2 linked regions of the Canis lupus familiaris genome follow. The main gene of each other region encodes a partner of the protein of the gene in region 2 in a complex. Links are inferred from orthologs where the notes say so. Each region holds a gene or a part of one and is shown on either strand. Other genes may lie near its edges.

Region 1 (4,556 bases), on a different chromosome or scaffold from region 2:
AATACTGTCCAACTATGTACCATGATATCCCGCTCCATTTTAGTTTTCAGACACCCTCCTGAACAAAACCCACTCCACCTTTTCCTGTATACTGCCTTTGCAGTCTACATTTCTTAAATTCCCTACGTTTAATTCCTTGAGGATCTCTAAAATTAATCCTTAAGGCTATATGAGAACCAGATGCTGCTCACAATTCTGTATCAAGCATTAACATTTGGTTCAAGGTATCATCATAGTGGTCTCGATAAGCTAGTTACGGGTCCTAACAAGCTAAGCAAGTAATCTTGCTAGGATCTGGATATCACCAGTGAGCACACTGCTTACCCTTGAAGAAAAATAAGTTTACATTCATTGTCATCTGTAGGTTCTTTCTTCATCCTACTTCCCCTTTAATTGTCATTTCTCAAGTCTACACATCATTCATTCATCACATTTCCTTCCTTAAAGGAGATAGTGTATTAATGAACCAACAGGAGATCTATTTGTATGAGTTAATCCTACAATCAAACAGAATTAAATACCTTTTTTATAAAACATCTTTTCCAGTGTTCTAATTAATGGAGATGTGGATCACTCAATTATAAAAAAACTTCTATCTTCAGCTTAATCAGTTGCTCTAATGTGAAAACAGGAATGTGTATTCTTTCAACTAGGTAGAAAATGTGTATAATTTGAATTGTTAAACGCTTTTATTAATGAACAAAGTAAACATTCTAGTAACTTTTAAAGTATTGGTCTTAGACATTTGAAATGTGGTAAAAGTATATATTCCAGTTTTGCCCCAATGTCACTGAAAATATCTACAGATATCTCATCTGTGTGTGGCCTACACCATTATTGCTCCATTTTCTGGAAAGAGTCTACTTTTAAAGTTAAAAAAGAGGGAAACACAGCAAAGTTGCTAACTTTTGCAGTGAAAAAAAATCTGTTGACGGGTTACACTTTCATCTTTTTATGCAGTGTAAGTTAGCTATGTAATAAGGAACTTGCGTTTTAGCCCTACTCATGCATGATGTATGTTTCAGAACTTAATAGCTGACATTTCAAAGAACTTCTTACATTACCTGTTTAACATACTGATGTGCAACTGGAACATATTACAATGATATTACTCATTATTTGCCACTGTAGGCTAAGTTTACTATACTGGTCTTAGATATAAAAGGTCACATTTGAAATTACTAAGTTAAAGGTAAAACTCATAAGGGAGGAGTAAAGGCCTTAAATATAAAAGACAAACGGCAGTTTGATTAAGCAATAATTTTCAGTTTACTAGATGAAACAGACTTGCAACATAGTCTGCATGAATGCAAAATAAGCCATCTACAGCAAGTGATAAGGAAACTGGGCAAAAAGGAAAAAAGCATACATTGCAAAAAAGATTCTCTCGAAATAAAAAAATCAAACCATTATTATAAAGGACTTTACCAAAAACTGCTATATTTCCCCCATCCCATTTGCTGGAAGTCAGTAAGAGCATCTAGCACTTTGTGGTCATGTCAAATGTCAGATCGGAGCATCCTAATGCAAAGCAAAAAAAAAGGGGGGGGGGGGGGAGAAAGAGAAACAAAAAAGGAAACCCCTAAACCCCCCCCCCCTCCCCAACCGTAGAACAGTAACTCCAGAGTTCAAATTCAAAAGAAGAGAAAGTGGCAATTGAAAGAGGTGATGGTGGCGATAATCCTATGAATGGGTTTCTGATTTCTCTCCTTCCGGGGGATAGGTGGAGAATGCTCATTAGGATTTGTAGTTAGAGGTTAACCATGTGAGCCCCTCATAGAGTCCATCCCCTGAGGTGGCACAGGAGGGCTGCACATACCAGTTCCTGTCCCGAATCCGGGTCAGGCCCAGTTTCTCCTGGATCTCGTGGGGTTTCATGGCATCAGGCAGGTCCTGTTTGTTGGCGAAGATGAGGATTATGGCGTCCCTCATCTCCCGGTCATTGATAATGCGGTGCAGCTCCTGGCGGGCCTCGTCGATGCGGTCGCGGTCGGCGCAGTCCACTACGAAGATCAGACCCTGGGTCCCGGTGTAGTAATGCCGCCAGAGCGGCCGGATCTTGTCCTGGCCGCCCACATCCCATACGTTGAACTTGACGTTTTTGTAAGTCACGGTCTCCACGTTGAAACCCACTGTGGGAATGGTGGTCACCGACTGGCCCAGCTTCAACTTGTACAGGATTGTTGTCTTGCCGGCCGCGTCCAGGCCCAACATGAGGATCCGCATTTCCTTGTTCCCGAAGATCTTGGATAGCACCTTCCCCATCGCGTCGGAGGAGCCGGGGCCGGGGGCATTCAGGTGTCCCGGGTCCCCTCAGCCAACTACGCCGCAGCCGCCGCGAAACCGAAACGAAGCCTCCCGGCCGCGAGGGCGCCCGTGCGGCCTGCGTGGGAGTTGCCTCCTCGGGGCAGAGGCCCAGGCTCGCCACTCACTCGGGCATCACCGACCGCACAACTTGATTCCTCCAGCCGCCGCCGCCGCCGGGGCCCTGAGTCTGCGCCGGGAGAGCCGCCGCCCTGCTGAGGCGCGGCCCGGCCCGGAACTGCCCTTCCCCCCGCAAGCGCCGCGCTAGCGCCGCCGCGGTTCCCGCTCCTCCGCCTTCTCTTCACTCGGCCGCGGGAGGTCGAAGCCCTCCGGCCCACCCGCCGGTCCACGAGCACCGGGCTCACCACCGACCCAGGCCACCCGAGAGTCAGCGCGGCTCCGGCGCCTCGTCAGGTCATTGATCCTCGCCGGGATCCGGTGCGCCGCCTGCAGAGACACAGAGAGGAAGAAGGGAGTTACTGCCGGCAGGCCAGAAGGGAGCGGAGGCCCAGGTGACTCGTCCTTCCAGCTCAGTTCGCGAGGTTACCTCAAGCCGCCGCCCTGAGCGCGGGCTCCCTCTGGCCTCCACCGCCTCCTCCCAGCTCTGCCGCTGCCGCCGCCGCCGCCGCCGGAAAAGGCGCCGAAGAAACCGCCTCACTTCCCCTCCCGATCACGCAGGCGCAGCAAGGCCGACCGTTCGGTGAGAGCGAGCTCTGTAAGGAGCGCGGCCCGCGCGCCCAGCGTCATGGGCGCCACGCGCGAGGGGGCGGGGCTACGGCGGCCTGGAGGCCTCGCGGCTGCGGTCAGGCCCCAGACCCGCGAAACTCGGACTCTGACCCGTGCCCGCCTGGCGCTGTACGCGGACTTTCTGCGTCCCTGTGGCGCGCTCTCGCCTCCCCCAGCCCTCTCGAACCAGAGCAGGCAAATCCACTGGGGAGCTCCCGAGGGCGGGGCCCGCGGCCAGCCCTCTCCCGCGGTGAAAGCCTCCCCCAGGCTGCTTCCGGACGTCGGTGCCCGCCAGGTGCTCAGCGAGTTCCCTTGGGCCCGCCCCAGCCTCCGCGCGTCCTCAGTCACCCGGGAAAGCCCTATATGCTGTTTGTACGTCTCCCAGCCCGTCCTTGGCCTCCCTCATCCCGCGTGTTCTGTGCATTTCCTGAAAGACACGTGGGAGGCCCGCGTTTGGTGTGGAGTCGGCCAAGCAGTGCGGCGCTTCTACCAGGCTTGGGTTTGCCAGGAAACCCCGCTTTTCGGTGTTCGAGCCCTGTCTTACACATCTCTTCGGGACCAGACCCTGTTACTTAAAAATGACAGTGTTAACCAGAGTTCCAGTCCCTTGCTGCGTTTTCAACTTTTTAAGGTGATAACTTTTCATACTTAAGTTAGTGTGTTGAGCAGTAACTTAACCACCTAGCTTTTCTTTAAGAATCCTAGACGAGGGGATCCCTGGGCGGCCCAGCGCTTTAGCGCCTGCCTTCAGCCCAGGGCGTGACCCTGGAGACCCGGGATCGAGTCCCGCATTGCGCTCCCTGCGTGGAGCCTGCTTCTCCCTCTGCCTGGGTCTCTGCCTCTCTCTCTCTCTCTCTCTCTCTTTCTCTCTCTCTCGAACGAACAAATAAATAAAGTATTTTTTTAAAAATCCCAGACAATAATAATCTTAGCACTAGGGTTTAGAGTCAGAAAGCCTGACTACTTTTGTGACCTGGATCTAAGGCATTTAACCTTGCTAAGTTTGTTATCTCATGTGTAAACCGAGTGTAGTGCCGACCTTGCTCTGTGTACTCCGTTTCAGAGTAAATAACAAAATGTTTGTGGAAGACTTTCGGAAACTTTTTTGTAGCAAATAGTTAGAGATCAAGTTAGACTTAAAGTAAGGCGAAGCCTAAAATAAAGGAACCAAGGGGAGGAAAAACAGGAAATAGGGTTTGTTATTTTTTAAGGAAGATGCTATAGAAGCATATGATAACATACTTGTTTCATAATATAAGAATATTTGATAATGGTAGATGGGTCAGGTGATAACCTTATAAGCTTCAGCTGAAATAAACTTACTGGAGTTGTTAATATTCTGACTGATCCAAGTTTACTTTCCATCTGCCTTGATCCATCTTACTTTCCACTGTCATAAAACTGAAGGAAGGATTTTGGAGTGAGAAGATTAGGGTTCAAAGTGTTGCCTGTCCGTTTTATGGCTGTGAATCCTTAGGCCTCAACCTTCCTAATCTTCATTTTCTTTATCTGTAAAATCAGACGAA
Region 2 (4,454 bases):
AGACTCCCAGCTGAGCAGGGAGCCCAATGTGGGGGTAGATCCTAGGATCCTGAGATTATAACCTGAGGTGAAGGCAGAGGTTTAACCCACTGAACCACCCAGCCAACCCATTTGCCCTGAAACTGATCATAATCTATCTAAAAGCAGCCTTCCTTTAGGTTGTTTTTAAAGATTCACAAAAATAGGCTAACTCCACACCAAGCAAACTTAAATAAAAGCAAAGAAAAAGACAAAGAATTCAAATTAAGCAATATCATTAGAATAAAGATGAAATTTCCAATTCCTTGGGGCATCTGGGTGGCTCAGTGGTTGAGTTTGGCTCAGGTCATAATCCCAGGGATCCTGGGATCACTCCCGCATCAGGCTCCCCACAGAGATCCTGCTTCTCCCTCTGACTGTCTCTGCCTCTCTGTGTGTCTCTCATGAATACATGGAACTGTGTGAGAAGAAGGAAGGAAGGAAGGAAGGAAGGAAGGAAGGAAGGAAGGAAGGAAGGAAGGAAGGAAGGGAGGGAGGGAGGGAGGGAGGGAGGGAGGGGAGGGAGGGAGGGAGGGAGGGAGGGAGGGAGGGATTTACAGCAAAAGTACTTGAAAGCCTGGAAATTGTCCATCACCAGAAAGTGTAAGTTAATTCTGAGCACCTTTGTGGAAATCTAGGAGGGTATATAAAACGGTGAGAATATTTTAGGGGGTGTGAGTTGCTATAATGTCTTGCTTGCAGGAATTCGAACCAACCTTCCTCCCTTCCTCTGAGGCACTTTTGCTACAATAGCAGACTCTTAGGCTCCATATTAAAGGCCACAAATGAAGCGCTCAGAAAATTAAACACAGAATTCACTTCTGCATATTGGCTTAAGAAAGACTGAATTTCCAGAAACTGGGTAAAACTTGACTTATCATCTTACACAAAAAGTGATAACAAGGTGGTTGTATGTTTGGGGTCTGGGAATTGGCTCATCTATCATTTCATCAATTTTCTCTATTCTCAAGTCATGGCTCTTTGCCCAAAGGTCTCATAACACAGAATTTACAGACGTATTTGAAAAAGTATAAATAACCAAAAAAAAAGTCACTTATTTACTTAAGAAATTAATATACAATCCAGTACGTAGCAGTTAGTTTTATTTCCTGATTCTGCAACCTGTAAGCAGATATTTTTCTTGGCATGTGTGACCCTGGCCTTTTGCCATGTTCACATGTCCCTACAGGAGTTTAAAGTTGGAGGGAGCATTTCTTTTATCCAAGGTGATAGGTCATGCTGGGCCTGCTCCTCGTCTGTGTATACATGTCTCTTCCTAGTACATCCACACATTGGTCAGATAATAGCCTGTATGAGGATGAAGATACAGCACGCCACCTCAGAAGTAGTACACGACCTCTGTTCTATAAACAGTGCTAATAAGCTACTGGACATTGCAATCCCATCTTCAGATTTTTTTTCAATCCCTCCCTCTCTATATACTTGGAAATACTCTTGACACAAAGTCAATTTTGTTTGGCAAATGCAATGGCATTCCTTTGAGACAAATGGATCACAAAATCAGAACTAGAAATCATCACTATAGTCAAGCTTAAGAAAAAGAGAACTATGTGACCTGGTACAAAGGTATATGTGACAAAACAGAAGTCTAAGTGGGGATAGTATTCAGGGTTAGGAAATGAGCTGCTAAATAAATCTCATATCCTAATGCCTTTTTGCCCCAAGCATTTTTCAAAGAGAACATGTTGCTGGTTCAATAATTCAGTATTTAGTTTCCTTCAATCACCATGTATTTAGCCCGGTGTATTAGATTAGATGCTCAGAAAACAAAGATGAACACTTCGCCTGAATTAGGTAAATTCCGTAGACATAAATGCCAACACACCCTGAAAGCTTAAATCCTGGACTGTCTCAAGAAGTCCAAGGCCTATCACTTGCACTCTAGAGCTCCAAAAGGCTCACGGACCCGAGGCGAGGGTTCCGAGGTCACTGCCGAGGTGCGAGGGTTAAAGACACCTGTAAACTGCAGTCCTAAAAAAAGGCTGCCACCAGTCAGTCACCTACACCTCCTCAACCCGCCCCGCCCCCCAGCCCTCTTCATAAATAAACAGAGGGTTCGTCAGGGGAACTGTCCAAGGTGACCACCTGACACGGGGGAACGCTTTGGTGTGAGATGTCAATAAAACAAAACTGTACGCTCTACTGACAAGACTGTTGCTCTACAACATCTCAGTGCTGACAAAGTGTCAGCCAAGGCCCATAACACATAAAACAAAACCTCTTTCTCTCCAGGGTTAAGACGTCAGGAAGAAACTGACCGAAAGAGGGAGATGTCTAACTTCCCAAAGCAGCAATCCCCTAGAAAGGTACTGGAACCAGCGGAAGTTACATACCCAGGACAGAAGTGTTTAAATGCCCCCCCCAACACACACACACACACACACACACACACTCACCATGGTAAAAGTTTGAACCGCCGCCTGACTATCCCACGGTGGTCGGAAACTTCCCTGAACTACAGGCGGCTACAGGCCACCCCGAAGTCTCCGCCCCCAGCCGATCTCAGGTGCCCTCAGGCCAAGCTGTGGCTCCCGCCCCGGGCCTTGCCTCCTCGTCTCCCTCCCTAGTCCCGGACACCCACTAGCCTGCCGCGGCTCCCGACGCCGGCCGGGGGGTCCCGGCGACCTCCGGCCACAGGCCCGCCCCCCGGGAGGCCCGGCGCGCCCCCTCCTCGGCCGGGCCGCGACCCCCGGCCCCCGCGCTGCCCGGCGGCCGGCCCTCACCTCCTCGGCGTGCTTGCGCAGCGCCTTCTCCCGCTCGTACTGGGTGATGAGCTGCTCGTTGTCGTCCCGCAGCAGCTCCAGCTCCACCTGGTGCTCCTGGTCCTGCGCGAACACCGAGTCCAGGTTCTCCAGCACGGCCACCACCAGCGGCATCAGCTCCTTGACCACCTCCTCGTCGTAGCGCCCGATGAGCCGCTCGAACTCGCGGTAGATGGAGCCGGCCAGGCCGGACACCCGCTCCGACATCACGGCCCCGGAGCCGCCGGGCTCCTCCTGGTACACCACACCGTCCTCCAGCTCCATGGTGGCGGGCGGGCGGGCGGGCGGGCGGCCCGGGGCGTCGCCGGCTGAGGGGGCGGCACGGGCCCGCACGGGACGGGCCCGGCTGGGGCCGGAGCTGGGGCTGCGCCCGGCGGGGTGGGGGGTCCGGGCCGGAGGAGGGGAGGGGTGGGGTGAGCGCACTCAGCCCAACGGCTGCTGCACCAACTGCCGGGGCGGCCGGGCCGCGCGCGCCACACGTCACCCGCGGGGCGGGACCCGCGCCGCGTCGGCCCGGTGGGCGGGGCCCCGCGGGAGGCCAGGCGCGGCCGGGGGGCGGGGCCGTGCGTCACCGTGCGCCGGCGGAGGGGGCGCCGTGGCGTCAGCACTGGGCGCCGCGCGGCGGGCGCGTTCGCCAATGGGAAGGGCGGCTGGAGGCGGGTGGCGAGAACTGTCAGCGCCCGGCGGACTCGCAGGGCGGGTCCCCGAGGAAAGGGAGGGGTCCTGGAAGAGGGACCGGCCGCCCGGGACCCACAAAGCTAACATTTCTGTTGCCTTTCGCAGCTCACAAAGGGCTTTCTCATTTGTTCCTCACGACAGGCGTGGTGTCGTGGAGGTCTCGTCGCCGTCGCACGGACAAGGGGAAAGTAGGCCCAGGAAAGTTGTGGTTCACTCAAGGTCACGCAGCCAGAACGAGGAGGAGGCCGGTCCGGGGCTCAGACCATCCAGATTAGGAAGCTCGGGCGGGCTCGGAGAAGAGTGGGACACACACAGGGGGAGGGTTACAGCGACCGTAACCAAGACGGGAAGTCCCTGAGTGATGCGGCTGGGTCTCCAGGGCACTGAGCGGGGACGGCGGGAGTAAGGGTGGCCCCGTAAGTCAGAGGAAGTGCGAAGCATTCCGGACAAGGGTAACATGACGCCGCATCTGGCACGTCCCCACCCCAGACACTGAGCCCCTCTGCCCCGGGCCACCTGGGACGGTGGCATTTCCGGGCTCCAGACACCCGACGCCCCTCTAGTCTGGAGGAGGGCGGCGCGGGGAAGTGAGGGGCCGAGGAGTCCAGGAGGGAAGGGGTGGAGTCTCTGGGGTGAGTAAGTCCCAAGATCCGCGAGGCCTCCGCCGCCCGCCCGGGAGAGCGTCACGTGTGGGGAATGACACAACGCCCAAGCCTCAGGCGGCCTGAGTCAAGGATGGCTTTCCGGGCTTCTCCTTTAACCTCTAGAGATGGGGCGAGAGACGCTCCCAGAAACCCCGCAGGTGACCCGAGGCGTGTTGAGGCCGGTTTCTCCTAAGAAGAGGGAAGAAAAGGCAGGACTTGGATAAATGGGAGTCTAGTGGGGGCAATAGGCCATTCCCAGGATCAAATACCCTTGACCTGTTTACAAGTTCGAGTTCTTTCTACCAAGTTTGAACTAGTCCCCCAAGGTCTT

The links.
Region 1: the proteins of SPAG9 (region 2) and ARF6 are in contact, whole or in part, in a crystal structure (PDB 2W83), measured with the Homo sapiens proteins. The link is inferred for Canis lupus familiaris from reciprocal best matches to the Homo sapiens genes SPAG9 and ARF6. Residues at the interface, in NP_001124000.1 of Homo sapiens: Lys431, Asn432, Ile435, Val438, Asp439, Thr442, Cys443, Asp446, Val447, Gln449; in NP_001654.1 of Homo sapiens: Glu13, Arg15, Lys34, Phe47, Val49, Glu50, Thr51, Thr53, Lys58, Asn60, Trp62, His76, Tyr77, Thr79.

What each region holds. Positions count from the first base shown.
Region 1 is NC_049229.1:26,667,893-26,672,448, reverse strand, and holds the start of ARF6 (ADP-ribosylation factor 6), read right to left. Parts: upstream 3,014-4,556; 5' UTR 2,852-3,013; exon of another isoform or gene 2,752-2,851; 5' UTR 2,266-2,751; coding exon 1,738-2,265; 3' UTR 1-1,737. Other genes in the region: uncharacterized protein LOC119876490, read left to right, coding at 3,050-3,661. UniProt on the Homo sapiens protein: GTP-binding protein involved in protein trafficking that regulates endocytic recycling and cytoskeleton remodeling. GTP-bound form plays an important role in the transport of multiple palmitoylated proteins form the Golgi to the plasma membrane.
Region 2 is NC_049230.1:26,912,801-26,917,254, forward strand, and holds the start of SPAG9 (C-Jun-amino-terminal kinase-interacting protein 4), read right to left. Parts: upstream 3,075-4,454; 5' UTR 3,066-3,074; coding exon 2,763-3,065; intron 1-2,762. UniProt on the Homo sapiens protein: The JNK-interacting protein (JIP) group of scaffold proteins selectively mediates JNK signaling by aggregating specific components of the MAPK cascade to form a functional JNK signaling module.